Ovis aries: one gene and its partners. The protein of the gene in region 3 interacts with the protein of the main gene of each other region in a pairwise test. Links are inferred from orthologs where the notes say so. Each region holds a gene or a part of one and is shown on either strand. Other genes may lie near its edges. The genes, in order: FUNDC1, RETREG1 and GABARAPL2.

Region 1 (10,095 bases), on a different chromosome or scaffold from region 3:
AGAAGGGTGGTAACATTTTTTCTTTCATTTAATGACCTGGGGTATATCTCATGCTTTTATTTATGACTCTATAGTTAAGCAAGCCAGCTTCATTCCACAACATTCCAATAGCTTTCTTGAGCGATCATTAACTTACAGTGGTCTTCCAAAGTTCCCTATGTTCCTCTCTCTATCTATAATCCCACTGAGACTTCTACAGCTACCTGTATAACTATCTTCTTCTATCCCTATCAAAACCATCAGGAAGTTTGGGGGTTTTGAGCACAAGCCACCTTCTCTCTGCATCAGTTCAGTTTAGTTCAGTTGCTCAGTCGTGTCCGACTCTTTGCGACCCCATGAATCGCAGCACGCCAGGCCTCCCTGTCCATCACCAACTCCCGGAGTTCACTCAGACTCACGTCCATCGAGTCAGTGATGCCATCCAGCCATCTCATCCTCTGTCATCCCCTTCTCCTCCTGCCCCCAATCCCTCCCAGCATCACAGTCTTTTCCAATGAGTCAACTCTTTGCATGAGGTGGCCAAAGTACTGGAGTTTCAGCTTTAGCATCATTCCTTCCAAGGAAATCCCAGGGCTGATCTCCTTCAGAATAGACTGGTTGGATCTCCTTGCATAGCCCTGCAGTGAAACTTTCTTTGCTCTGAACTCTGATGTTTCAGTTTGTTTGGCCTCACCGTGTGTGGGGCACAGGAGTTTGCGTCTAGTAATAGCCAACAGGCTAGAATCAAGTTTGCAACATTATCTACTCCATTTTATCAAGTCTGCATTTTTTAGCAGAAATTGATAAATCACTTGCAATTGGGCTTCCCTTGTGGCTCAGCTGGCGAAGAATCTGCCTGCAATGTGCGAGACCTGGGTTCAATCCCTGGGTTGGGAAGATGCCCTGGAGAAGGGAAAGGCTCCCCACTCCAGTATTCTGGCCTGGAGAATTCCATGGACTGTATAGTCCATGGAGTCATAAAGAGTTGGACACGACTGAGAGACTTTCACTTTCACTTGCAATAAAATGGTCAGTGCAACTTGGTAAACAAGTTTTTTTACTTAAGCACTTAATCTTTATAAACATAACATTCCCTAATTTCTATAACTGTTCATCTACTATTGGACACTTTCTGTTGTCCCCTATTGTTTCTACTCCTTTTCATCATGAAAAACAAAACAAAAACCCTACAATGAATATCTTTATGCATAAGGACTATTATATTGTCTTTGGCACTGGTCTTTAGTGGGATTAATGAAGTGGCATCTATAAGATTGTGCATACATATTATCAAACTTTTTACTTGCTTATATTCTTACAAGCTAGTGCATGCAGCATCAGCTTTGCTAAACTTTTCTCATCAGCAATTGATTACCTCAGTGCTTTGAAAGGTCACTTAGAGTCTAAGTCTTGGAGTATTTTAAGTATGCAAATGTGAGATGAGTGGGCTCCACTGGGTTGGGATTAGTTGTAGCCAATGGGGGAGGTTAGATTGCCCAGCGACTGTGAATTGTTCTTCTGTTTGTTTTTATGTCTGCTTTTTGCTTTTCTTAATTCTGACTAAATTATGTTTTAACATTTAAGGTTTCCAAAGACAGTAAGGAAAGGTAGAGATCAGGAAGGAATAGTTTTATGACAGTTTCATTATGGATTAAATAGAAACTGTTCTCTATTTTGAATAAGTTACTCATAAACTTTTGGAACCCATTGAAAAACTGGAGGCTACATGAATTATGTTTTAGTACAGTGGGTAGGGGCTTCCCTGATAGCTCAGTTGGTAAAGAATCTGCCTGCAATGCAGGAGACCCTGGTTCAATTCCTGGGTTGGGAAGATACCCTGGAGAAGGGACAGGCTACCCACTCCAGTATTCTTGGGATTCCCTTGTGGCTCAGCTGGTGAAGAATCCTGCTGCAATGTGGGAGACCTGGGTTCGATCCCTGGATTGGGAATTTCCCCTGGAGAAGGGAAAGGCTACCCACTCCAGTATTCTGGCCTGGAGAATTCCATGGACACGACTGATCGACTTTCACTTTCACTTCACAGTGGGTAGGTAAGACACCAGTATTCACAGTGAAAATGCTTATTAGTGCTGACTGAAAAGAAAACCTATTCAAAATAGGAATTAATTTAAAAAATCAGGAGGATCGTAGCACCTTTTAGAGTCTGTTAAACATTAAACCATTCATCACTGAGCCAACAAAATAACAGCTTTTTTGGTACTGGGAAAGAAAAGACTCACACTAGTAAAATAAATTATACAACTAACTTGGTTGAGGTAATGGCAAGGGCATATCACTGTAAGAAAACAAAAGGAAGAGTGTTTAAAAAGTTCCTTCTCAACCCTTAAGTGCGCTACAGAAATAATTGCCTTTAATTCATTTTTGGACATGTTTAGGATGCATTTTAGATTCAAAAGTTCATTTTTTGGCATCTTAAGAGCAGTGTTTTGTTTCCGTTTTCTCCCTCTTTTCTCCATAATCATTTGATGCTAAATATCATTGCCTTGACAGGAAAGTGACTTCTTTCTGTAGTTGGCAGATAGTGCTAGAAGTAGATCAAAGTGTTTAGATGTCATTGGCCCAGTCAATCCTCTTCCAATTTGTAATTTTGCTCTTCTGATTTGTAATTTTTCTCTCTTCTTTCAGTGGCCCATCATTTGCTATTTCTCTTATCTGTTAGCACCTCACTGGGAGTGGGGAGGCAATGGGGAGGAAGTCGTTTATGAACTCAAAAGTGTTAACTCTTGGAAAAAATTTCAGTGACGACCTCAGAAGTTATGTCCCTGAAAGTTATTTTGTTTCCAAAACATGTAATTGTGGAGCCCTATACCTTCCCTTGTGGCTCAGCTGGTAAAGAATCTGCCTGCAATTCGGGAGATGTGGGTTCGATCCCTGGGTTGGGAAGATGCCCTGGAGAAGGGAAAGGCTCCCCACTCCAGTACTCTGGCCTGGAGAATTCCATGAACTGTATAGTTCATGGTCGCAAAGAGTCGGATATGACTGAGCAACTTTCACTTTCATACCAAGGTCACAGGTATGGAGCCCTCCACCAAGGTTCAGTTCAGTTCAGTTCAGTTCAGTTCAGTCGCTCAGTTGTGTCCGACTCTTTGAGACACCATGAATCGCAGCACACCAGGCCTCCCTGTCCATCACCAACTCCCGGAGTTCACTCAGACTCACGTCCATCGAGTCAGTGATGCCATCCAGCCATCTCATCATCGGTCGTCCCCTTTTCCTCCTGCCCCCAATCCCTCCCAGCATCAGAGTCTTTTCCAATGAGTCAACTCTTCGCACGAGGTGGCCAAAGTACTGGAGTTTCAGCTTTAGCATCATTCCTTCCAGAGAAATCCCAGGGCTGATCCCCTTCAGAATGGACTGGTTGGATCTCCTTGCAGTCCAAGGGACTCTCAAGAGTCTTCTCCAACACCACAGTTCAAAAGCATCAATTCTTCGGCGCTCAGCCTTCTTCACAGTCCACAGAATAAAAATCTCTGGAACTGACCAAAGCCCATAGCAACTGTTGCCATGAGCCTCCAGATCTAAACCAGCCAGTTCTCTGACCCGAAGTAGGTGAAATACCTACTGGATTACCCACCCTATAGCATCCTAAAGTGAAAGTGAAAGTTGCTCAGTTGTGTGGGACTCTTTGCGACCCCATGAACTATACAGTCCATGGAATTCTCCAGGCCAGAATACTGGAGTGGGGAGCCTTTCCCTTCTCCAGAGCATCTTCCCAACCCAGGGATTGAACCCAAGCCTCCCACACTGCAGGCAGATTTTTTACCAGGTGAGCTACAAGGGAAGCCCATATGGCATCCTGCTGCTGCTGCTGAGTCGCTTCAGTCGTGTCCAACTCTGTGTGACCCCGTAGACAGCAGCCCACCAGGCTCCCCCGTCCCTGGGATCCTCCAGGCAAGAATACTGGAGTGGGTTGCCATTTCCTTCTCCAATGCATGAAAGTGAAAAGTGAAAGTGAAGTCTGTCAGTCATGTCTGATTCCTAGCGACCCCATGGACTGCAGCCTACCAGACTCCTCTGTCCATGGAATTTGCCAGGCAAGAGTACTGGAGTGGTTTGCCATTGCCTTCTCCCTATGGCATGCTAACCAATAACCTAATACCATCCTTCTAGTAGAAATTTTCTATCTTGAGACCATAAAAATTGGCTGGTAGCCTGCGAACGGGTTGGGCTCTCCCTTGAACCGACATGTGTTGTAATCGTGTGTCCCTCTCTAGTAAACTTTATTCATCTCTCATTCAGCCTCTTGGCTGGATATTCTTTTCCAATCCGCACATGGCCCACGACAGTAATCTCACACAAAGTGAAGATTAATATTTCCAGCCAGTCTTAGAATTGTATTTTGAGGTGCACAAGCTGAGGAACTTGAGAGACATCAACCCTTGCATTTAAAGCACCAGGACTTGAAAAGCCAAGTACAATTATGTAAGTTAATATTTTAAGTAATGCAGCCTCTACCAGGATTTCTTATTTTTCTTCATTTCCATATTCTCAGAATAAGAATACTGATAGGGTTGTTCTAAATGTACAGCGAATGCGGGTGCAACGTAAATTCAAAACAAGTTTCGGGGCCAGTTTATGTGAACCTGAGTCAGCCGCTTGGTTTTCAACACGGTTTCTCATTCAACAGAATCCCGTGAGGCTTCTTGGGTGAAGAACTTATCCTCGTTCCTCTGTCAGATTTAAATAACAAAAATGATGTTTAAAAATTATGTCCTCTTGAGTAACTCGTGTCAGGTCATTTTCTGGGCTTCCCTCTTCCTCCCTCAGGTTCCTGGCAGGAAACGCGTGGAGAAGATGAAAAGGTTCCAATTCCTAGCAGCAGCGCGTTAGAAAAATTTTCCATCGGTTAGTGAGCCTTTGACTGCTTGAAAAGTGTGGTTCGAAAGAGGGTTTCTCTTATCTCTTTTTAAAAGCCTCTTTCTGGTACCGTGTTACAAACAGCAAGCTGGTTTTCGTTTAACCACCATGTGACGCCCCCTCCCCTCCAGTGAGGCCCTTTGAAACAAAATATCAAAAGTTAGCTTCTGGAAATTCTCGGGGGGGAGGGGTGGGAAACCAGTGTTGCGGAGGGCAACTGACTACAACTCCCACAAATCCTTGCGGGCTGGTATCCAACCTGTCTCCCCCCTCCCCCCTCCTCGCGCCCCTCTGCCCTGCGCTTGCGCGGAAGGCCCTGCGCTTAGAGGAGGGGGCGGGGACAGGACTGTGCGCCTGGAGGAAAAGGAGGAGGAGATAAAAAAGAGACCATAGACTTCCACCTGGGCCTAGAGCGGTTTTTAAAGTAGGGGCGAGAGGCGGGCGGGTTGGGACCGCCTCAGTACAGGCCGCCGGCGGTATCATGGCGACCCGGAACCCCCCTCCCCAAGGTGAGCGGCCGGGGCCCGAAGTAGTATGTTAGAGGCAGCTCACAGCTCTCGACGTTGCTTCAGGCTCGCCTCTTCCTTCTGTCCCAGGGATCCTGGGGGCTCTGTTTTCTTGAGGCAACCTCTTTGAGCACCTCTTTTAGACTAGACCTCCCCTCCCCCTCTTGGACCCTCGCCCTCAACACGGCCCCACCTGTCTTACCTTCACCTCCCTTCCTATCCGTCTTCTAACGTTTAAGTCTTACTGTTGAAGTCATTTCTTCTTGCTGGGCCTCTAACCGGTTCGGCCAGTGGAAGACCCCCCTTTTCCTCCCACTGATGAAAATGGACCCTGCACTGACCCTGAACTTGAGATTTGGGGGTGACCCTTCATGCTGTGAAACTGACCTACCTACCGAGATTGGGGGAGACCCTGCTGTGAAACTGAGCCACCCCTGCAGAGATTTGGGGTAGGGGTGTAACTGCTCAGTTGTGTAACTGACGTTGCCCCGCCCCCCCAGACCTGTGTCTAGCTCTTTGGGAAGGGGATGCTAGGCCCTTTACTCTCAAGGCCCTAAGTCTCAGAGATTGGGTTTAAGAAACTGTCTACATCCGGGCGTTTTTAGGTGTATGCCAATGTAACAATGAATTTTAACAGATGAAAATGTACACGACATTTTTAACTTTCAGTTGACTGAAAATGTGTTGCTTTCGTTTTCTGCTTTCAAGAATATGAAAGTGATGATGATTCCTACGAAGTGTTGGATTTAACTGAGTATGCCAGAAGACATCACTGGTGGAATCGCGTGTTTGGCCACAGTTCCGGACCTATGGTAGAAAAATACTCGGTAGCCACCCAGATTGTAATGGGTGGAGTGAGTGGCTGGTGAGAACATCCTTTTTTTTTTTTTTTTTTTTTTTGTTAAATTTCACTGGGAGCCTGACTGCTGCCCTTTTGTATCTGGGCCAACTACATACTCAGTCAGTGGTTTTACAGTGTTAATCCCAGAAGAGCTGTACCTTGAGACTTTTCTCGGTGATATGATTAGTGTAATCTACACTCAGATTCTGCTGGGTTTTGGTGATCATCCTCCTCCTCATCCTTCCTTTTTTTTTTTTTTGCATATTTCCCCCCTTCTCAGATTTAGCAGATGTAGTGGATCTGATTCAGTACCAGTGGGTAAAGAGGAAAAAATATAGAAGAGAAGAGTTAATTATATGTAAATAATTTGTACTTGTTCGGTTGAAAACCCTGTGAGAACTCCCACAGTAAAACTAATCTCCAGGGTTATCAGCCCTGTGCAAAGCAGTGTAAAATTCTCAGTAAAAATTACTGATTATGATACAGATGGTTCTGTTAATTTTGTGGGCCAATTTAAATTATGATAATACTTTGAAGAAGGAGAGTTGTAGAACATTGGGTCTTTGTTGGAATTACTCAGTGATAATACTGTGGAGTACATTAAGGGGGAGAGGTTAATAGTATTAACCTCACCAGTTAACATTTCAGGTCACGTGATTATATAATTGCTACTGTAGATCTAATTCTGTTATTCTTAGACTCAAAAGATTAGCCAAATAACAAGGGTCAGAAAGAAGTTTGACCCTTTATTTTGAAAATGTTCATGACCCTAGGGAATTTCTGAAGCTAGTGGGTGTGCTTAACCTGTGAGTAATCATTTTTTCTTCTTAGATTCTAGGTTAAATTCATCCTACATTAATTTAAATATTTACATATTTAAACTCGATAAGTATAAAGTGTTTGTTTTAATTTGTGTTTTATTTGCACCTTGGAACAATGGTGTGCTCTTTTATGCCTTTTTTTTTTTTAACGCCTTTTTAAAATAAATGCCATTTTATGGTAGAGACATTCACTGTGAAGATTCTGTGATGAACAGGTACAGTATTTATTCATGATGTGTACTTATTAGTGCTGCTTATGAAAAAAGCCTGCAGTTGCCTGGTCAGAGCCCTGGTTATTCAGATGATTCTTCTCAAGCTGGTTATACTTTGATGCCCACAATTCAGGGCCTGGCCTTCTACTTAAATAAGCTCACAGTCTGGTGCCTTGGGTGATTGGTTAATGTGAGTCCAGGCCTAGAGCCCCATCTTGAAAGAGACTAAAAAATAATTGAGCAGTAGGATTAAATCATTGTGTGTTTTCTCCTTGTAGGCCAAACTTGGTGAGAAGCCCCATAATTGGAAGAAGTTTGCTTGGAAAGCCTAGAGACAGAACAGAGGACATTAGTATATTGATTGTAGTTTCTCATACCATTCAAGCAAAGGATAGACATGCTTGTGGAGCACAGTCCCCAGGATACTGTTAAGACCTGGTTGCTGCTTGGCTCCTTTGCTCCCTTTTCTGAGTCTTTGTTGCTGTCTCCCCTACTGAGGGACACATATGTTTGGATTATAGCCAGGTGTTGATCCAGGAGCTGTGTAATAGGACTCTAATATTATACAGGTGATTTGTTGCAATGACTTTAGATTCAGCGTAATAAACGTTTGCAATTTTTTTAGAGTATAAAACTGATGTCCTATTGTGGCATATGTTAAGGAGGAATGGTTAATAAGATGTTAGCTAGTTAACAATTCAGACCAATTCAGGACTTGATTGGGAAGCTGAGGAAATTATGTTTAGCTGTAGGTAGTTATATGTTCTTGATCCTAAAAAAAAACTAAAACTGACAGCAGAATGGGTGGCTGCTAGGTGAGATGGGAGGTGTGAAGATCAGCCAGAGGGTCATTAGTGTGATCTGAAAGCAAGGTAGCGATGCCTTTGAGGATGGAAAGAAGACAATCAAATGTTTTAGAGAAACTTGGGTGTATAGAATTGGCCATCATTTGGACCCCAGAGGCGATGAAGAAGGCAGTCTGAGATGAACATGAGGTGAGAAGCCTCAAGAATAGTGCTATCACTTAGAAATTGGGACTTTAGCAAACAGGTGGTTTGGTTGGAAAGATGGTGTTTGCTTTGGGACATTTTGAATATGTGGTTCTGGGTGGCAAGAGAAGCTCGTCATGTAATTGGAAACGTACATTTTCCATTTATGAAGGGGTGTTAGTTTCCTCAGGCTGTTATAACAAAGCACCATAGCTAGGTAACTTAAAATGAGAGAAACTTATTCTCTCACAGGTCTGGAGACTAGAAGTTTGAAAAGTGTCAGCAGGGTTGGTTCCTTCTTGGAGGCTCAGGGAGAATTTGTTACGTTTCTCTCCCATCTTCTGGTGGTTGCCAACAATCCCTGACACTCCTTGACTTGCAGACATGGGTGCTCAGTTGCTAAGTCATGTCCAACTCTTCATGACCCCATGGACTGTAGCCTACCAGTCTCCTCTTGTCCATGGGGGTTTCCAGGCAAGAATACTGGAGTGGGTTGCCATTTCCTCCTCTAGGAAATCTTCTCAATTTTGCCTCTGCCATTACATGGCTGTCTTCCTTCTGTGTGTCTCTCTGACATATTGAATTTGGGGCCCACCCTACTCTAGTATAACCTCATCTGAATTAACTGCTTTTGCAATGAATTTACTCCGAATAAGGTCACATTCTGAGGTTGTAGGAAGGTCATAGATTTCAGGGGTGACACAATTCAACCCAGTACAGAAGGCCGGAGTTGGAAATCTGAGATTCCTTTGCACATTGGATCTGGACTGCTGAAGGGAATAATGAACTCACTGAAGGAGAGAATCAAAAAAGTATGGGTTAACATCCTTACAGGATAGATGAGACAAAACAGGTTTAATATAGAGATAGAAATAGAAAAGGGAGCCATGAGAAATGTGGGCCAAAGTATAGTCGTGAAGATGGACCTCTTACTGGACCTTAACGGGTAGAAAAGTTTTAGATAGGTGGAGCGAGGTAGAAACCCCGAGAAACGGGGATTAATACCTTGAGCAAGAGTGGTGACCTGTTTGGAAACTGATTGGATTGGAGTAGAAGGTTTGGCTAGAGTGAGAGTTGGCCAGATATGTGGAACATCTTGACTATATTTTTAAAAAAAAAGCCCCATAAAACTAAGCATTTTGTTATGAGGAATTTCAATACAACTTAATACAACTTAATACAACTGTAGAAGGAAGAGTATAATGAACCCTTGAGTACTCACATTCAGTTTCAGTAGCCAGTCTTTCCCCTGTCAGTTCCCTTCTCTTCATCCCTTATTTTGAAGCACATCTCAGACAGTTTAGACTGTGCAGTTTTGACTAGTCTGTATAACTGAAAGGAAACATTGAGGGTTTCTGAGCAGGTGAGGAACATGGTCAAAAGAACTGGGAAGACGTTAAGATTTTATTAGGAAAGTAATGAAAACTAGAAGAGAGAGAGTTTAATACATCATTGATTGTCTTCATCCTTTGCCATTTCTTCCACTAAAGGTGTGCGGGATTTTTGTTCCAGAAAGTTGGAAAACTTGCAGCAACTGCAGTAGGTGGTGGCTTTCTTCTCCTTCAGGTATGTCAGAGCTTTCAGTCCTTGCCTCTGCTTAACAAATAAACATTTCATCAATAGTATAACCTGTTCATACTGATAATTTAAAACATATATTTAAAGTTCACACACATTCGTACGCAATATATGAAAATCAAAAAGTCTCTTTCCTTCCCTGTTTCCTAGTCATTTTTCCTTCCCAGAGGAAATTGCTGTTAGCAATTTCTAACATGTTTTTTAAAACTAGGAAACCATAATAATATAAAAAGTGAAAAATTGGTCTTAAAAAATAATTCATAATCCTATTTCTGAGGCAAGTTGATTTGA
Region 2 (10,095 bases), on a different chromosome or scaffold from region 3:
ACAAAAGCAAATGGGGCATTTTCTGTTTCACTGGGTTCATTCTATTTGATGGTGTACTTAAAACTGGTGTCACTGGTTGCCTCTGGGAAGAAACAGGCAGTCAAGGACAGGCGTGGGAAAGACAGCTAATTTCATACTTTTAAACTTCTGAACTATGAGGCAGTATTAGCCATTTTTAAATCCATAAAATTTAAGATAAGAAAAAGAATTTATAAACATGTCCCTCATTGGAAAAGTGAGAGAGACCCAGCCCTATGACTACTGGACTGTTGCCCAGTCTATTTCACGTTGTGGAAACCCTGCTTCTTGAGACAGGAACTATATGGTCTGCATTGTACTAAACTCCTCTGAGCTCTGAGTAAATAACAATTGTTTAAAGCATTCTTTAGGAGTTTAGTATTTGTCAAAAACACATCAAAGATAAGAATGTGCACACACAACCACAGTTTTAAAATAATTATAACTTGAACATCAGGTAACTACCACCACCGAGGTCAAAAAACAGAACACTGCCTACACTCCAGAACCTTTCATGTGCCTTCTGTGATTAAACCTTCTCCCTCTACTCTTGATTTTACAGATAAGAACGTCTTTTACCTATATATCCCTAATCAATACTGTTCAGGTTTGGACATCTTAAAACTTTCAAAAAACTGAATCATTCTGTACATGTTATTAAAGGCGCTTTTCTTCCCCAAATTGCATTTGTAAAATTTATCTACATTGTTGCCTATAGCTCTAGTTTATTGCTCTATGGAAAGAATTTTATGGTAAGAATAAATGAATAAATCACAATTTACCTGCCCACTAAAATATTCCTGAGCACTTACACAAGGCATCTTGGGGTCTCCATTGCCTATGGAAAAAACAGATCCTCGAGGCAACCACTGCCCCCAGGTGGGTCTCCAAAACACCTAGCCAGTCTCATCTCCCCTACTTTTCTCCACTACCTCATGTGGCACTGCACCAGTTGAATATATGGTGGAAACATTAAGTACGATTCCTTAGGCCTGGAGGGTTGTCCACCATGCACTGGATCTACCCAAATCATTCCTCTCCGTCAAAATCTGATTCAAGCATGGGGTCTCCTTAAGAAGACCCCACAGTCTCATCTATCCAGGATGCCACCTGCCCAACAAAAAGCTGTATTAAAATGAATGATTCCTTCTTTGACCCTTCACCACACTCATGCCATTCAGCCTTGAGTAATACCCAGACCGTCATGCCCGTCTCAGCTTTGTCCTTCCAAGACACAGCACTAAAATCTTGCAAAAAATGGGCAGATAATAAATGTTAGAGCTTTTGAACTCAAACTCAAAATCCTGAGAGCTACTGCTGGTAACAGGTACTGCTGCTAAGTCGCTTCAGTCGTGTCCGACTCTGTGCGACCCCATAGACGGCAGCCCACCAGGCTCCCCCGTCCCTGGGATTCTCCAGGCAAGAACACTGGAGTGGGTTGCCATTTCCTTCTCCAATGCATGAAAGTGAAAAGTGAAAGAGAAGTCGCTCAGTCGTGTCTGACTCTTAGGGACCCCATGGACTGCAGCCCACCAGGCTCCTCCATCCATGGGATTTTCCAGGCAAGAGTACTGGAGTGGGATGCCATTGCCTTCTCTGGGTACCAGATACTAAACAGTCAAAAATATGTATTTAAAAAGTTAATTTTCACAAAAATAACATCAGTGAAAGTGAAATCATCATGATTGCTTCATACAAATTTGGGTTCTTCATGCTTCTAACACTGATTTTTTATTAAAAAAAAAAAGAGCTTTATGTTATGCCATATACTTAATTATACTTTGCCAACTACATGATCTACTCTTTAGACATAGTACTTCAGTTTATGAAACCACTCTTATGTTTTGTCATCTAAGTTTTATTTGATTTTCACTTTTATAAATAAAACATTAGTGAGCATAAAAATACAGAGTTTTAGAGTTCTTGGGACACAGAATGTCAGTGCCACATAATTTAAGATAGCTTGATAAGAGGTACATTATCTAGAGAAGACAAAGTCCTTGAAAGAATATTTCAACCTAGGAGCAACAATGGGGAAAACTACAGCATTTTAATGAAATTAATAAATGGGTCAGAAATTCCAATTAACAAGTGCTTCAAATTTAAAAAGCAGGACAGTCATTTTTCTGTCCATGAAAATATACATATAGGATTGTAAATTCTCCAAAAAGGAGAAATAAAACAGATAAACAGAAAACCTATGGCCATTGTTTGCCTTGCTATCATACTTATTAAAAAATATATGGATGGAAGACATCATTTCCAAATAAAATTAAATATGCCTTTCAATTATTTAATGCAAAAATCATTATTTTCAGTAGACATTAAAAATATATCACAGGAAAAATGTTTGCAACTCATGTTACAGAAATTAGGCTAAAGTTATTAATATAAAGAGAGTTCTAACAACTCAGTAGGAAAAGCCTAATGACTCAATTAAAAATATGGATAAAAGTTTTCTGTAAACAGATAATGCATAGAAAAGATAATTATAATGGTTCCTGAACATAATAAAAAATACTCAAGCTCTGCTGCTGCCAAGTCACTTCAATTGCGTCCGACTTTGTGTGACCCCATAGACAGCAGCCCACCAGGCTCCCCCGTCCCTGGGATTCTCCAGGCAAGAACATCGGAGTGGGTTGCCATTTCCTTCTCCAATGCATGAAAGTGAAAAGTGAAAGTGAAGTCGCTCAGTTGTGTCTGACTCTTCGTGATCCCATGGACTGCAGCTTACCAGGCTCCTCCGCCCATGGGATTCCAGGCAAGAGTACTGGAGTGGGGTGCCATTGCCTTCTCGATGCTCAAGCTCAGAGAAATGCAAAACCATAAAACCATACTGGATAGCCTTTTTTACCTATCAGATTTACCAATCAAAATGTTTGATAAAATGCTGTTGGCAAGGGTATAAAAAGAAATAGGCAGTCACATGCATTGTTGCTAGCAGCATAAATTGGTAACACTCCAAGGAAGTATAATAATACAATGACAGCCATCAAAACTACAAGGACGAACCCCCTCTGACCCAACAATTTCATTTCTGGGACTTCCTCCTACGGCAATACTTGCTTACATGCAAAATAATGCATGTTCAGACCCTTAACTATAATGCTGTCATAGCAAAAGTTTGGAAAGAATCTTATTCTGTCAGTAGGAGACAGGTTAATCTGTGACATCCGTACAGTGGGATTCAGCTGATCACAAGAAAGTGATCGCCAAAGTGCGCTAAGAAGAAATACAGCCCAGATAGTAGTCCACAATTTGCAGAGAATATTTTGTATTTGTTGAAATATGCACTATCTGGAAAGATACACAGGAAACTGGTAACATTGGTTGCTTCTGGTAGGAAAGTAGGTAGCCAGAGAGAGGCATGGGAAAGACATTTACAGACTGTTTAACTTTTTGTACCTTAAACTTGTGAACTCTGAGGCTATTAGCTATTTTTTTAATAAATAAAGTTTAAATTAAGAATTTTAAAAACATGTTCCTCATTGGTAAAATGAGAGAGACACAGCCCTATGACTATTGTTGCCCAATTTAGCATCATACATATATCTTCCTGATTTTGAGTGTTCACTATAACTTCATAACAGGTTAGAGAAATACGAAATAAGCTCTAGAAACAATGATAGCTAAGAGACCCAAAGTAAGGTTAATTCACACTCGGGGGCTCTATGAAGAAACAGTTTGTTTCAAGACAAGATCAGTCTGGCACAGATCTGCAGAAAAACATTATGGTTAAACGAGCTGACTGAGGAAGTGGCAGGTCGTGTATGTTTTGTTCGTTTATTTATTTCCTAACTTTATTAAGGTTAAGAATTCAATGTCCTGTGGCAAGGTATGGGTCACTGAAGCTCTGCTTATTCTGCACAGTGTCGGTCATGCTTGTTATGAGAACACAGGTGCAAACAAAGAAGCTTTTTCTCCACCTCCTTAGACTGGTAATAGATGACCAGGCAGGGGCTTCAGTGAAGGAGCCAGACGTTTCCCCGTCTTTAGGGCGAAGGGCGCTTTTGTAAGAGACAAACCTGTTGATCAGGGGCTTTTCAGAGAACATTCTTGGGTAGTCTCTTTATTCTTCAGCTAAAAATAAGACTGTTTTCTACACTATGCACACCTGGGGGGCGGGGTGATGTCCATAATCCACCTGTCTGCCTCCTGTTTTCTTCTCGGGGAGTAGAGACAGTACACCCAAGCCTCCGGGTGGGATAGAAAAACAAATCACTCGGTGCCCGTCTCAGCTGGCTGACGGCGATGGCTCAGTCTTGAGCGTGTGCCCAAGCTGGTCCAGATATGCCCTCTCTGGGGACAAGAACGGACACAGGTTCAAGTGCGTGTGGTCCGGCGGGCTTTGGGCGAGCAGGTCACGACCTGCGAGTTTCAGAAAGCCAAAGGTCCAGTGCGCTCGGGGGCACACCTGCCGGTCCAGGTGCGTGCGGGGTCAGCCCATCGTCTCGCTCGCGAGGCTGGGCTACCCCCACGGAGGATGCCAGCTGCTTACAGGGGGAGGTGCATCTGGAGGAAAGTTGGGAGTGGGCCAGGGCGGACACCTTCCTCCGCAGGGTCCGCCGTGCACCGCCCCCCACCCCCCCATATCGAGCCCCCGGGCGCGCCCTCCGTCCGCTCCCGGGCGCCCCAAGGGCACCTGCCCGCACCCCCTGCCCCTGGCCCCCCGCCCCACCCATCCCGAGCTCTCACCAGAACACCAGGTTGGCCCCGACGAAGGCGAGCAGGCTGTGCAGCGGCCTCTTCCAGCTCAGGAGCTCGTCGGCGCGGCTGCCCAGCCACAGCGCCGGCTCCCCCAGCAGCCAGGTCACCACGGCGGCCACCCCGCCCGCGGCCTCCTCCACCTGCCGGCCCGCGCCCGCCGCCGCCCCTTCCTCCGGGGGCGCGGCCCCCTCCGGCTCCTCGGGGGGAGCCCGGGGCGGCGGCTGCGGCGCCTGCGGGGCGGCGGCGGGAGCCGGGGCTCCCTGCTCGGCGGGCTCCGGGGGCGCCGGGCTCGCCATCTTCGGCGGCGCGGGCGGGGACGGGCTCGGGCGCGCGCGCGCGCCTCGGTGTCGCGCGGAGAGGGCGGCGGGTCCCCGCGCGGGGCGCGCACCGCGGGGCGCCGGCGGCTGGGTGCCTTGTGACGTCAGCGTCGGCCGCGGCGGGGCGCCTCCCGGGGGAAGTGGGCGCGGCCGGGTTGGCGCGGGGCTGGGCGGGGCCGGGCGGCGTCCCCGGGGGAGCGGGGGCGCTCAAGCGGGGCCGCCGGAACGTGATCCCCGTTTCCCTTCCCAGCCTCCGTCCGCCCGCTTATCTAAAAGGGAGTCTCCGGGCCACCGGCGGAAGCAGTTGGCAGTCCTCACTTTCTCCGGCCGGGGCCTCCGATCGCCCATCCTGCAGCCTTAGAGCGCATAATGGGGCGCCCCTGAGCCTGGCCGCGTGTTTCAGCCCCTAGTTCCCCGTCCCGCATCCCCACCGAGTGCCCTTGCAGGGGCAGATTGCACCTCCATAGCCGAAATCTTCAGGACTCTTAAGAACAACGTGATGATTTAAAGGCTGGATTGAGAAAGGAAAGGGCCCGGGAGGAGGGGGGTGGGGGGCGAAACATTTTGGGTCCATTCGGAAGCACGTGGCCCTCTGGTTTTACAAATTAGGAACCGCCAGGCCACCGCGTTGTGGCAGGGGGCTTCCTCCCTCCGACTTGTGGACAAAGTCACCTGGCTCCAAAATGCACGCTGGTCTATGGAGGGCACAGGTGAGCGGGGAGCTGAGATGCAGGATCGCTTGGGTGTGTTACACAGGTTAGGCCAGAGTCACTGTGGTCACAGCAGTCATCAGGACAGGGGTCAGGTGCTGTGACGGGGTGACCAGGAGTTCTGAGATCTCTCAGACCTGGCCTCACTGGCCCTGGTGCTTCTGAATGATTGGGGGGGGAGGGGGCAGCGGCTGGGATGAAAGGTAAACTTTCAAATAGGTTCACTTTTCCCTATTTGCATTTTCTAAATGTTCTCTTCCTTCATCCCCATTGTCACTTTCCTCTAGAATAAAATGTTCCTTCCCTTTGCAGAGCATTCTACTTTGATGAATCAAAGCATCTTATATCTTCTTGGAGTTTACTACTGGCAACCAGCTTCTTTCACAGGATGGATGGGGCTCATTCTCAGAGCTATTTAAAGCCTGTTTCCAGGGAGCCTCTGGAGAATGTTCTAGAGTGTTCATCTGGGGGTTATTATATATGTTTATACCTCAGTGTACACATACGAAGAAATTCACTGACGTACATTACAAGTGTATGCACTTCCCTGTGTGTATGTTATACCTCAAAAGGGTGTAAGCCTAATTTACTTAGAGGTTTACTGACCACCTACTGTGTACCCAACCCCTTGCTCAGCTCTGTGGGTATGGCTTCCACCCACAGGAAGCTCACAGTCCAAGGAAGGGCCAGTGACAATTGTGATCACTGCCGTGATGGAAATGATCACTCAGGGCTAAGAGTCCTTACTTCAGTCATGTGTCCAAAATTAGGGACAAGTGGAGGAGTCAGGTTTCCGGGAGCTTTTTGGAATAGAGGTTGTCTGTCCTGAACTGTAAGCAGGAGGGCAGCAAAGGAATATTCATTGGAAGGACTGATGCTGAAGCTGAATCTCCAATGCTTTGGCCACCTGATGTGAAGAACCGACTTATTGGAAAAGACCCTGATGCTGGAAAAGATTGAAGGCAGGAGGAGAAGGGGACGACAGAGGATGAGATGGTTGGACGGCATCACCAACACGATGGATATGAATTTGAGTAGCACTTGGAGTTGGTGATGGACAAGGAAACCTGGCTTGCCACAATCCATGGGGTCACAAAGAGTCAGACACAACTGAGCGATTGAACTGGGCAGTAAAGGCAGGATAGGGTAGGGAAGAGGAGGCAATCATGTCTGTCAGGAGATCAACACAAGCGAAGTTGGGGACTTACAGGTGGAGGTCATGGTTCCTTGTGTGTATCTGCAGCAGATCGCTTCAACTGATCCACTAGTGGAAGGAAGTTTGGTTTTTGACCTGCCGGCAACGCAGAGTCTCATGTTTCTGGCTTGTCTGTGAGTAGATTCATGACAACCCAATACAGTAACCAGGGAGGCGTGAAAAAGCAATATGGAAACAGTTCTGGTGTTTTTACCACGAAAGAAGAAACAGTCTTTCCCTGGGGCTTCCCTGGTGGCTCAGTGGTAAAGAATCCACCTGCCAATGCAAAAGACGCAGGTTTGATCCCTGGGTGGGGAAGATCCCCTGGAGAAGGCAATGGCAACCCACTCCAGTATTCTTGCCTGGAGAATACCATGGACAGAGTATCCCAGTGGGCATGAGGTCACAAAAGAGTCAGATACGACTTAACGACTAAACGACAATTTTTCCCTGAGTGTTGTGCACTCTCTTAGCATTGGTGCAGGAGCTTTTGAAAGATAAAGGATGCTTTATTGTGTCATCTGGCCTTTGCTTAGCAAAGGACTGAGACAGCCCAAGGGTTGCCCTAGACTCTGCAACTGGAGGGAGGAATTGAGAAACCTGATATCCCCATTTTCCAAACCAGGGTGATGTGCTTCTAGAAACATGTCTGCAAGATCCTACACATTCCTCTTCTCCCTGGAATTTAATTACTGTCATCAGGATATGCTGAAGTAGTAAAAGCTGTTGACAGCCAAGACACATAGAAGCTCAACTTCAGTTGCTACGTGTGGGTTGCAACGCTTACCTCCGCTTATTGATAAAGCTCCCTCCTCACACCTCTGTGAAATCTTTCCTTCTCTCTTAAAATGCCACACAGCTGGAGTAAGTGCTGTCATCTGTCTTTTTCACCTCTGACCTCTAATGATTACTAGCAAATAATGTCACAGGAGCAGATGCTGGCCTAGACACATAACTGGGTGCTACTGAGTGTTTTTGTCTGATTAACTTTGCGATGTGTGAATAATGTATTCAGTGCTAAGACTGCATCAAAATAATATTAATGATGCTTAAAACTTGTCCCCTCATCTCTACAACATGTCACATTTAAAACTCCTGTGAGTAACCTTATGGTTTAAGATTCTTCTGAATTTTGCATCACCATGTATGGGGAACAGAGTGATTCACACTAATGAGGTAGACAATTTGAAAATATAGATCCAAGGAAAGCAAGGAGACTGGGGATATGTCAGAGGGAAAAAAAAGAAGAGTGCGAGACAAAGAAAATAGTTGTAGCCACTGAATCTAAGTGACAGTTTAGAAAATAACCAGTCAGGCAAAGAAAGCCAAAATACACACAAGAACTCTTAAAAGAGGTCACTCACCTTTCTCTTCCAAAAGTAGCTAGAAAGTTTGTAATAGGAGAAAAAAGCAATGAATAATTAATTCCTACTCTAGGAGGCCACATAGGCAACCTCAAGCTAAAGCCTTAGGACGAGAGGGAAATGCCTCCATATTTTCTTCCCCTAAAATGTTTCATGTTAGACTCCTAGGTCCTTACATGAAGGAGCTGTGTACCCATGTTGTGTTGTATTGGTCTGGCAGATAGATGTTTGTGTGCTGATAATTTTGTTAAGCTTTGTTAATTTGGTGAAGTTCCAATACATTGGCTACTTAATGTGAAGAGCCAACTCATTGAAAAAGACCCAGAGGCTGAGAAAGATCGAAGACAAAAGGAGAAAAGGGTGGCAGAGAATGAGATGGTTAAATGAGATGGTTAGATAGGATTACCGATGGAATGAATGTGAATTTGAGCACACTCCGGGAGATACCTCCGGGGAAACCTGGTGTGCTGCAATCCATGGGGTCACAAAAAGAGTCAGACGTGACTTAGTGACTGAACAAGATCAACAAGAGAGCCTGATAGATCACACTGAGCAGAGAGAAGTAGGAACACCACACCACGGCAGTGACAACAGAGGGAACGGAAAGGAAGATTGTGCCTGGTTTCCAAGGCCCAAGTCGCAAAAGGAATTGGCTTTCTGTTCGGGATTGACTGTTGTGCTTATAAGAACTGGAATATCCAAACCAGACTAACCTAATTTGACAAGGATTCTGTAAGGGGGATGCTTACCAGAAATGAACTCTAGCATGGTGGCCAACCACACCAAGTTGGGGTACTCAGTGTTAGGTATCATTCCCTAATAATATACAAAAGAGCTTTTGCAAGTCTTCAGGAGGGTTTGTTGAAGGGACCTGGGGTCACACTGCAGGAGTGAATATCCTGGAAAGGTACTCTTTTATCCACCCACAGGCACACACATCAACACAGACAGCAGCAGCAGCAATGATTTCAGAGCATTAACTGTCAACCCCTTCCCACGGGCCCAGCAGTTACACTCACCTCAGTGGAATGGCCACCCTTCTGGTCCTATTGAAGGAGTTCACCAAGAGGAAGTGACCTCTAATTGACACTCAAACTGGACCCAGGTGATTGGAGGCACCGCATCCCCTCCTCTGTCCTGGGATGTATGTTCTGCCCACTGTTCCCACAGCGGGAGCGGTCCCGAGGACACGGCCGTGAGAGACAGGTGTGATGTTGAGATCATTCGAGTGGTCAGTGTGAGTGAGCTCCATTAAGGCCTCCGTGGAAGGACACAACTTAGGGACTAGACACCACCACCAACAAGCTCTTAGGATTCTGGCAGGTGGGGGTGGAAATCTACTGTCTCCTCCAATGGAGCGCTAAGAAGTCTGAGCTTTGGGACCTTGGGTAGGCTTCCAGCAGGAGAGTCAAGTGGCCTGGCTGGTGTTGCAGAAAAGTATCTGGGGTAATGGATTATACAGAGCCTGGCAGAGACCCTGGGACAGATTTTTTCACTAAGACCAGGGAGACAAGGAAGAGCAGGTTTGGAGCATCTTTGGAAAAGCTAGGTAGCAGGTGGGCAACGGGATCTGCGGCTTGGAGAGCAGCAGGAGTTCTGAACAAGAGCCGGATCAGAGGTAGGAAGCAGCCTGTATGAGAACTTGGCAGAGGGGCGAGGTTGGTGTGAGCTCACAGACCAGATCAGGTTGACCATGTGCAACAGAAAATGCGATGACACTTTTGGACAGACAGATCAACAGAAGGGAGTTTTGAGCATCATTTGCCAAGTTTAGACCCAATTCT
Region 3 (10,095 bases):
GGACAAACTAGTTTTAAGCTACTTGACAGCTTATGAATCGGGGGCGGCTGACCTAGAATCGTGGACACCCCGTCCCTGCACCAGCTTTCCTCAGCCCCGGCCAAGGTCAGCTTATGGAGGCTGTGGGATCCAGCCTGACTCATGAATTGGCTGGACCGATGGGCCACCTGGCCATCCATCTGCTTTGAAGCCCACGTGCTTCCACTAGACCTGGATCTGTCTCTTTTCCAGCGGGGGAAGCGGGGTGGGGGGCGAGGGGAGAGGACAGTGGCTACTGCTGTGGACCCTGGAAAGACACTGGCCTCAAAGTTAAAATTAATATGGCCCTAGAGGCTCCCTAAAATACAAAAAATTAACCACTGCTTATTCTTTTTATCAGGTTTTTCTCTGATATAAATACTCTATTCCACTACTAAAATAAACCCTGCTTTGAAGAGGTATTTACCCAGAAGTGCTCAAAAGTGTTGAATTGAAGCATATTTCTAAATAAAGTTTAAATGAACTGTAAGACATCATAACTTCTTTTACGCAGTACCTTTCTAAGAGCCAGGAACAAAAGAACTAACAAAAAAAGAGCCAGGAACAATTAAATACTGTAATACTAAACAGCACAGATCTCCCAACGTAACATTCCCAAATTACAACATCTTCAGTTCAGTTCGGTTCAGTCGCTCAGTCATGCCCGACTCTTTGCGACCCCATGAACTGCAGCACACCAGGCCTCCCTGTCCATCACCAACTCTCGGAGTTTAACCAAACTCATGTGCATCGAGTCCGTGATGCCATCCAGCCATCTCACCCTCTCTTGTCCCCTTCTCCTCCTGCCCCCAATCCCTCCCAGCATCAGGGTCTTTTCCAATGAGTCAACTCTTCACATGAGGTGGCCAAAGTATTGGATATTATTTAATTTAATAATATACCCCAGTTTCTATTTTAAACAAGGGATTAATAAGACTCTTATCTGTGCTCTAAACAAAGACCACAAGGTAGGCCCCACTGCCAGGTCTGGGTTCCCCACTAAAGCTTTGACTGGAAAGCTTATACAATAATGATATTCTTTCTCAAGTCCTGTCTGCACCAAGACACGGTTTTCCTTTTGTTTCCAGCCTGATTCTAGATGCAGGCACCTAGGCAGAGAATTCAACTTTCCAATGCTAAATGGGAAAAGGCAGTTGAGATCTCCCCTTTCTTAAAAAAAAAAAAAAAAAAAACTCAGAAAGGATTTAAAATGTACAATGTACAATTCTTATGGACTTGCTTCTGTCTGTATTTCTAGAGTCAGTATTAACACTGACTACTCAAACAATAATCACACTATTTTACAGGATGGTCGCCTGTGTCCCGGAACACTCAAGCCCACCCTAAGGCAAGAATAATGAAGTTGCTTTTGCTCAGCCTCAGACATACGCAATCCTTGTGTAGATATGCTTGTTATGGGATGGGGGAGGGCTCATCCTTTCTCAACTGTGATTTCCCCAGCCACTCTCCAAAGGCTGCAAACACTGGCTAATGGTTAAAGGAGGCTCCACGCTTCCCTAAGGAGGCTGGAAAGTGCTAAGGAAGAAGCTCCTACTGCCTTGGGGAGGAAGTGATGAAGCTGAGTCAAAACTGTAGCTTTAGGAGGAGACTGCCAATCTTGTCTGTGCAGGAATCAGGTGATCAGCCCAAGGATGTCACATGCCTCTTTTGTTTATAAGCAAACTTGTTTTGAAGACTAAAACCCCCAAACAAAGAACTGCTGCCTTAAATGTGGGCCAGGAAGTCATTAACTGGAGCCAAAGGCGCTGAAGGATCTGGGTGGAGGGGCTGGTTAGTGTGCCTTGGGTCACCACTGTAACCTGTTTTAAGGAGGATTCTTACCAGGTTGGAAAAGCAAATAAAACTTAAGAGAGAAAGCAGCCTCTGCTACCCTGAGAATCACTTTTCATTTCCAATTCTACTGGAGGAGAGGCATTAGTTAAAATCTGCAGCCATTGTAATTGCTACATTAACATAATCTTAATGTCTCCAGAAGCCTGCTTCATTTCTTCAAAAAGTATCAGAAGATCAGGATCAAGGAAAACAAAACTCAAGGCTACAGGTCCTACTCACAAACTTTTTCCCACCCAGAAGCCAACTCTGGGAAGGAGAACACACAGGGCCGCCAAGGGGCTGCACAAGCTGCAGGTGGCATGAAGACTGATTTACCTCCACCTCCCCACCACCTGCAAGGAAACGGAACATGACCGCAGATGCCCAGGGCTTCCCTAGCCTCCCCTGGAGAAGAATGCACCCAGCACCACAGTGCCCAGAGGCCTGGAAGGAAGGCCGAGAGCCCAGCGGGGTGACAAGATGACCCCTGGCAACACCACAGCTTCCTAAGCTCGAGCTGTAAGCAGGCCATGGCGCCCTTTAGGCAGAGCCTGGCCTTTCTCCTCAGGCAGAGCCTTGGCCTAATGGAAGGCAGACCTTCCATTCGCCCCTGCTGCTACTGCTGCTGCTAAGTCGCTTCAGTCATGTCCGACTCTATACGACCCCATAGATGGCAGCCCACCAGGCTCCCCCGTCCCTGGGATTCTCCAGGCAAGAACACTGGAGTGGGTTGCCATTTCCTTCTCCAATGCGTGAAAGTGAAATCCCTCAGTCGTGTTCGACCCTCAGCGACCTCACAGACTGCAGCCCACCAGGCTCCTCCGTCCATGGGATTTTCCACGCAATCCTCTGCCAAACATCAGGAAGCAGAAGTGTCAGAGAATGGGAAAGAGAAAACCTTAAAAATAGCCAAAGTTATTCCATTCGTAGGAAATGGGACTAGAATTTGGCTTAGGCCTTTCTTGGAGTTTTCAAGGATTTTCAAAAGAAGCATATTTTGGCTACACTGGGCTAGTTCCCAGGGCTTCTTAAAGCCTTAGCATCAGAAGTACTACTTTTGGGGGGATAACAAAATGAAACTCAGGAGGAAGGGAGCCAGCATCTGGCTCTGTTACTCAAATCAGTAACAGAAAAGAACTGACCAGGGGTACAGATTGAGCCAGAAAATTCTCCTCTCTCCACAGGAGACTAAAGCTAGGCTGTCGCCTACCTTGAAGAGAACTGTAATGCCCCTGCCTCAATTCAGGCCCCAAATATCCCAAAGACTGCTTCCAGGCAGCACAACCGCAAGAACAAGAGGGCAGCTACTGACAGAGCAAAGGGAGGTGTAAGTCTGTAAAGAGCCGTCTCCGGGTACCTGAGGCTCAGGCAGCGGACTCTCACAGTGGCCAGGACTGAGCCTGGAGAGCGAGCGAGCAGGCAGGGTGCTTAACTGAAGCTGAGCTTCAGCAGGGCCCACAGGCTCCTGGGGAAGAACGACAGGACTTATTTCATGGATCATTTGGAAAAAAACCTCATTTCAGGCTTCAGTTCTACTGATGGCTTAAGCCTAAGTAAGTCCCGAACTATTAAAAAGGATTCTTGGGTATCTGAGGCTGATTTCATCTTTTTTTTAAAAAAAGTCCAGGCCTTGCTCTGTTTTCTTAACCCAAAGTACACACACATCTATTGCAGCCCTTTCTTGTTTTCCTTGAGCTCCTGATGTCAGGGAGCACAAAATTCAGATTTCTAATCAGGATCTCTAAAAGTTTTCAGACTTCCAAAGTTTTGAGTCCTGTAAGCAACCAAGCAGATGTCCAATACCAGTAAACACCCCTCACCTGGACTGTGGGACTGTCTTATCCACAAACAGGAAGATTGCCTTTTCAGAAGGAAGCTGGATCCTTTTCCTGATGATCCACATGAACTGAGCCACAGTGATGTCGGATGGAACCAGATACTTCCGTTTGTCAATGTCAACAATCTGAGAGCCTGAGACCTTTTCCACAATCACCTGCAAAAGCAAAGTGCGGTCATGACTGGACTGCGGACGCGGTGCCCTGGCTGCGCACTGCTGGAGTGCTGATCCACAGTGTGTGGGCAAGGAGGTGGGTGGGAAACGGCATAACATGAGCAAACATGCCCCTGGCGTAATACGCCACACACTCTGGAGATTAAGAATTGATATACATGTGTTACAGGCAACAGCAAGTGCTTTTCTGTGGTCAATTATTAATACAGTTCTCACCCCTGATCTCAGCATGCATAAGAGAAACACAGCTCTCACTACAAAGTTTTTCAATACTTTGGGCAGACTCAAGAATATCTGGTGAAGGGTTCCTCTACAGCCTCTTACTCCAGGGCCCCAGAATGTATCTGCCTTCACACTACAGGGGAATTAAGATCCCAAGGAACACAGGAAATGAGAAGGGACAGATCAATGGGGATGACTGGCAACTCCAGGCAGCCAAGGACCAAGCTCTTCACTTGGCCTGTTGCTTCTCTCTGAACTAAGTTTCAAATCTATCCCTCCTGCCTCTCCCCAAAGGAACTGTTCATAAGCAATAAACTACAATAACAGGCCTGGATGTCCTCAAAAATAAATAAGGGTTACAGAAATTATTTCCCCCATCAAGGGATAAATACAGGATAAGCATTATTGATCAGCAGCGGCTCAGACTTTTTTTTTTTTGGTCAGCAAAGGATGACAGGGTCAGGGTGAGAAAAGGGAACCAGAAGTCAGGTAAAGAGGAAGGCGCAAAGTTAAAGATGAATGTCCTGAGACTTAAGTACCACTTTCAAGATCAAAGTGAACGTCTCCCTCCACCACCATTCCCTAAAGTGGTTGTGACCTGTCGCCCTGTCCTAGAACATCATTTCTTACATAATTGGCTAGGGAGCCCAGAGGCTGCAGACAGCTCGCTGGCCTAGATCGCGAGGTTCAGCACCGAAGCAACCTGAACAGCATCCACTACAGCCCGTCAAGTCGCGCCCCTCGACGGCCCCTTACCCAGTGCGGCCCATCTGCCACCACAACCGTGACTGTAGTCTAAACTTGTCAACTGTTGAGCAGCCTGGGCCCCACCACCGGCCCTAGACGGCAGGGGTGACAGGGAGGCGAGGGGGCGGGGAATGCACTCACCGGAACCCGGTCGGGGTATTTCGCTCGGATCTTCGCAGATTCCACGCATCTGTGTTCTGAGGAAGAAACACACGGGGCTGACGGCCGCGCCTGCCCGCCGGCCGGCTCCCAGAACCCCGGCCCTCCTCCCTCTGGGACCTGCGCACGCCCCCGGTCTTCTTGAGCGTCCGGGCGGGCCCGGTCCTCGGGGCCCCGGCTCCAGCAGGGCCCGCAGCGGGCGGCCCGGGGCGTGTGGGCAACCGCCCTGGGGGCCAGGACCTCGGCCGCCCGAGCCCCAAGGGAAGCACCCGCCCCGCCCGGCCCAGCCTGGGGCGGCCCGAGTGGGGGAGGGGGCCCCCGCCGCCCCCGCCCCCACGGCCGGGCCAGCGGCCGAGCGCTCACCCAGCGAGTGGTCCTCCTTGAACATCCACTTCATGGCGGCGGCGAAGAAGGGACGCAGCCGGCTCTCGGAGCCGCGGAGCTCAGCGAACCAACCACAACAACAACGACGGCGGCAGCGGCGGTGACTACACGGCAGGCGGGACTTCCGGCTGCCGGAGCCTAGCAACCGGGAGGGGCGGGGCTTCCGGCGCGGCTCGCGGGACACCGCGTCAAGGGGCGGGGCCTCACGTCAAGGGGCGGGGCAGGAGAGGGGCGTAGAGGGGCTCTCGGCGGAGCGGGGAATAGAGTGGGCGACTGGGAGGTCTGTGAGGGATACTGATGACTGCGGAGCGGGTATTCGAGAGCTGGTAGCAGGCGTGGGGTCTCGGTGGACGTTAGTAAAGGGAAGAGGTGAGCAGGTCCGGCCGACAGGATAGAGTCCTTACAGGAGTCTGTTCAATAGACAAGTCTGACTGGGGCGTTGGTGACAAGAGGGCAATTTTGTAGGTTTCAGTGACAGAAGAGGTTGCTCTGGTGGCCTGTGACGGCAAGGGGTCTAGTTAGGGCTTTGACACTTTGGGGAGGTTTCTTTGGAGTGACTGCAGGTTCAGGGCTCAGTCTGAGGGATGTGACTGGTTTGAGGGGACTGTGTGGAGAGGGGTACTGATGACAACGCGGGAGTTCAGTACTGAGGACAATCATAATTGTTGCGTTGGACCTAGGAATTGGGATTTGAAACAAATCCCAGCTCCTTCCCTTATTCACGAATAAATGAATAAACGTTTAAGAAAAGTTATATTAACTATGCATTTGGGGAGTGTAACACCACACTGATCACAAAGAGACCATTTAACCTTAATTGCCAGAGGAGTTAGAGGTGACTGACTGTCAGACCCAGAGAATTCCCCTGATACCCAGTCATGAAGTGGGTTTCTTTGGCATTCAGCATCACAACCTAAGGGGTGTGTGTGTGTGTGTGTGTGTGTGTCCTGCCTTCAGGTTCTCCAGTGACTATTCCTTTCTTCCTCCAAGACTCACCAGGGCAGTGTGCTCTGGTTCATCCCTCTGTTTATGAGCTGGTGAATATGTAAGAAGATATTCACTTAATTGGGCATGTGATCCTTGCCACGTGCTTGCGATTCTGATGCATCTGAAAGGCTTGTATGTTTGAATATTGTCATTTATCATTTCCTAAGTTGAAATTCCTGATGGATGCTGTGGAATATAGCTTCATTCTAGAAGTATTTCTTGTTATTTTAACATTAACCTTAATTGCCAGAGGAGTTAGAGGTGACTGATTGTCGGACTGTTTTTTATGAAAAATCCTTTGAATTTCATGCCTGGAAATTTTTGTTGTTGCATGAAAGAGCACTGTTCTAAGTGTTGGTGAAAAGCAGCAAACAGAACAGACAATACTTCCACTCTTACGGAGTTTGCATTCTAGTGGGACAAAATGAAAAAAAATATGTTGGGTAATGATAGGTGCTGTTTAGAAAAATAAAGCATACTTGGTAACTAGTGAGTCACCATGATGGTGGGAGTGAATGCTAATTAGATAAAGTGGTTGACATATTTCTGGGAATACGAAGGAGTCCCATGTGACTGGAGCTGAATATATAAGAAGGTGTGCATTAGGAAGTGAGACCAAAGAGATCTAGAAAAGTGGGTTGAGCTTTGAATTCCATTTGAAGAACTTTAGATTTTATTTAGAATGGAATGAGAAGGCAGTGGAGGGTTATAAGCAAAAGTGTGACATGATATGACTTTCCTAGCTTCTGTGTAGACAGTAGATTATAGGGGGTTGAGGATGGAAGTAAGGGAACAGTTAAGAGGCTATTGTGATAATCCAGGTATAAGATGATGTTGGTTTAACCCAAGATAGTATCTGTGGAGGTGATGGGAAGCAGCTGTGTTCTAGATACATTTTGAAGGTAGATCCAACAAAATTTGCTGATCAATCGAATATGATTCGTGAGGAACAAGTCTAAGTCAGGGTTTTGGAATAATTGAGTGGTCATTTACTGGAACAGGGTGGAGCCAGAGGGGTGGGGTATGCAAATCAAGAGTTTGGTTTTGAATATAGCCTGGTGGCTCAGAGGTTAAAGCGTCTGCCTCCAATGCAGGAGAACCGGGTTCGATCCCTGGGTTGGGAAGATCCTCTGGAGAAGGAAATGGCAAACCACTCCAATATTCTTGCCTGGAGAAGCCCATGGACTGAGGAGCCTGGTGGGCTGCAGTCCTCCTGCAGTCTGCAAGGAGATCCAACCCGTCCATCCTAAAGCAGATCAGTCCTGGGTGTTCATTGGAAGGACTGGTGTTGAAGCTGAAACTCCAATAGTCTGGCCACCTGATGTGAAGAGCTGACTCATTTGAAAAGACCCTGATGCTGGGAAAGATAGAAGGCAGGAGAAGGGTATGACAGAAGATGAGATAGTTGGATGGCATCACTGACTCAACGGACAAGAGTTTGGGTAAACTCCGGGAGTTGGTGATAGACAGGGAGGCCTGGTGTACTGCACTCCATGGGGTCACAAAGAGTCGGACATGACTGAGTGACTGAACTAAACTGACAGAAGAGAGTGAGTATAAAAATGAAAATAACCTATTTTGCAAATAGAATTAAACACTAAGGAATGAAGATGGTTGTCAACCCTCTGATAGTGAATCAGTGAAGAAGTTAAAAATTGGGCCAAAGACCCCTGCTTCCCTTTACAGAGCTGGTCATTGTGTCCTAGTTCAAAGTATGTGTACACCATCTTACACCTGGAAGAACTTAGTATGCTTCTTAGTGGAGAGATTCGAAGCAACTTACAAGCATGTTTGTCACCTGATGGTCTCGAGGTGCAATGTCTGTCTTCTATCATAACCTACCTTTTTTTTTTTTATTTTTTTTGCCACATCGCACGGCAAGCAGGAATCTTAGTTTTTAGTCCCCCACCCCACCCCCAGGGATCCAACCCATGCCCAGTTCACTAGAAGCGCAGAGTCCTAACCCCTGAACCACCAGGGACTTCCCTTTACCTACCTTCCTGATGTCTTTTTCCAGTTCACCATTCTAATTGGTTTCTCTGGCTGATGACATTGTCATCTCGGACTGTGATAAGGGCATTGTATAGTTTTCCCATATGGGCACGTCTTGACCTCTCTTCTTTGCTAGGATCTCAGCTGTTCTCTTCATCGAAAACCCAATTCTAGGTTATAATAACTAAACTTATCATGGTAATCATTTTGAAATGTATAGAAATACTGAATCACTATATTGTATAACAGGAACTAACCTAATGTTGTGGTCAATTATACTTCAAAAACGAACTCATTAAAAAGAGATCAGGTTTGTGATTACCCGAGGCAAGGTGGAGGGAGGGGAAAGTTGGATGAAGTCAGTCAGAAGATACAAACTTCCAGTTATAAGATAAATGAGTACTAGGGAGGTAATGTACAACATGATAAATATAATTAACACTACTTTATTTTGTAGATGAAAGAGTAAATGCTAAGAGTTGTCATCACAGGGGAAAATTTTTTTCTATTTCCTTAATTTGTAATCTATATGAGATGAGAGATGTTCAACAAATTTATTGTGGTAATCATTTCATGATGCATGTAACTCAAATCATTATGTTGTACACCTTAAACTTATACAGTGCTATATGTCAATTATACCTCAATAAATCTAGGAGAAAACCCCACTTCTAGGTTGCCTTCAAAATAGGAGTATTTATGAGTGGATCTCATTCTGAGCACAAACTTCACACTAACTCGGCACTGCAATGTGATCCTTTAGGGCCTTTTGATGGAGAACTTGGCTATTGACTACTTAAAAAAAAAAAATTTCTTCTGCCATGTTTGAAATACTAGAAAGCAGATGGGATGGGACGGTGGAAGCATTCAATTAAGTGTTCAGTTCAGTCGCTCAGTTGTGTCCGACTCTTTGCGACCCCATGGACTGCAGCACGCCAGGCTTCCCTGTGTAACTTTATCTTTGAGGAGGACCACGGCTTCTCCTAAAATAAGTAGCATAAAGCTTGTTCCCAATCAAGATAGCAAAGTATAGCAGAGCTATACAATAATTATCTTTTTTTTTCCCCTCGAACAGCAGGGAGATAGGTCTGTTTCCGTGTCTGCCCTGCTATGGAGTATAGTGAAAGCGATAGAAAATTTGGAAACAAAGGGACCTGGTTTGGTCTTAACCCAGGACCAAGTGTCTAGGACCACGGCCACTTTTTTTTGTTTGCCTCCAACGTACGGTGTGCTGTGATTGGTTAGACTTAAGTGTACAATAAACCACATTGGGGATTAATAGATTTGACTATTAATAAATAGTCAACATTTATGAAAAAACCTTATTTTACAAAATTGTTAACAACGGCCACGGTTTGGGCGCACGGAAACACCCTTTGGGAACGCGCAAGCAGTGTGCGACCACAGTGTACTTGCGGGCCCCGCCCCGTTGGCCACGCCCCCACGGAAAGCCCGCCTGCTCGCTATTGGTCGCTCTCCCTGGGCCGTCGGTTGCCGTGGAGACCACGGCTATGGCAACCAGGAGAAGCCATACTAGGTCGAGGCTCCGGAACTGCCGAGGGAACAAGACCCCGAGTGCTCCTCATGGCGCTCTATGAGCTCTACGCGCATCCAGTGGAGCGGGGCTACCGTGCCGGGCTCTGCTCCAAGGCGGCGCTCTTCCTGCTGTTGGCCGCCGCGCTCACGTACATCCCGCCGCTGCTGGTGGCCTTCCGGAGCCACGGTGAGTCTGCCCCCTCGCC

Evidence for each region.
Region 1: the proteins of GABARAPL2 (region 3) and FUNDC1 interact in binary tests that used the Homo sapiens proteins (3 or more experiments, as listed by UniProt). The two-hybrid records come from large-scale screens. The link is inferred for Ovis aries from reciprocal best matches to the Homo sapiens genes GABARAPL2 and FUNDC1.
Region 2: the proteins of GABARAPL2 (region 3) and RETREG1 interact in binary tests that used the Homo sapiens proteins (3 or more experiments, as listed by UniProt). The link is inferred for Ovis aries from reciprocal best matches to the Homo sapiens genes GABARAPL2 and RETREG1.

What each region holds. Positions count from the first base shown.
Region 1 is NC_056080.1:43,691,715-43,701,809, reverse strand, and holds the start of FUNDC1 (FUN14 domain-containing protein 1), read left to right. Parts: upstream 1-5,316; 5' UTR 5,317-5,338; coding exon 5,339-5,366; intron 5,367-6,071; coding exon 6,072-6,228; intron 6,229-9,716; coding exon 9,717-9,792; intron 9,793-10,095. UniProt on the Homo sapiens protein: Integral mitochondrial outer-membrane protein that mediates the formation of mitochondria-associated endoplasmic reticulum membranes (MAMs).
Region 2 is NC_056069.1:56,686,612-56,696,706, reverse strand, and holds the start of RETREG1 (reticulophagy regulator 1), read right to left. Parts: upstream 5,044-10,095; 5' UTR 5,022-5,043; coding exon 4,714-5,021; intron 1-4,713. UniProt on the Homo sapiens protein: Endoplasmic reticulum (ER)-anchored autophagy regulator which mediates ER delivery into lysosomes through sequestration into autophagosomes.
Region 3 is NC_056067.1:2,348,812-2,358,906, reverse strand, and holds the start of GABARAPL2 (gamma-aminobutyric acid receptor-associated protein-like 2), read right to left. Parts: upstream 5,485-10,095; 5' UTR 5,388-5,484; coding exon 5,354-5,387; intron 5,029-5,353; coding exon 4,973-5,028; intron 3,845-4,972; coding exon 3,672-3,844; intron 1-3,671. Other genes in the region: TMEM231 (transmembrane protein 231), read left to right, coding at 9,938-10,076. UniProt on the Homo sapiens protein: Ubiquitin-like modifier involved in intra-Golgi traffic. Modulates intra-Golgi transport through coupling between NSF activity and SNAREs activation. It first stimulates the ATPase activity of NSF which in turn stimulates the association with GOSR1.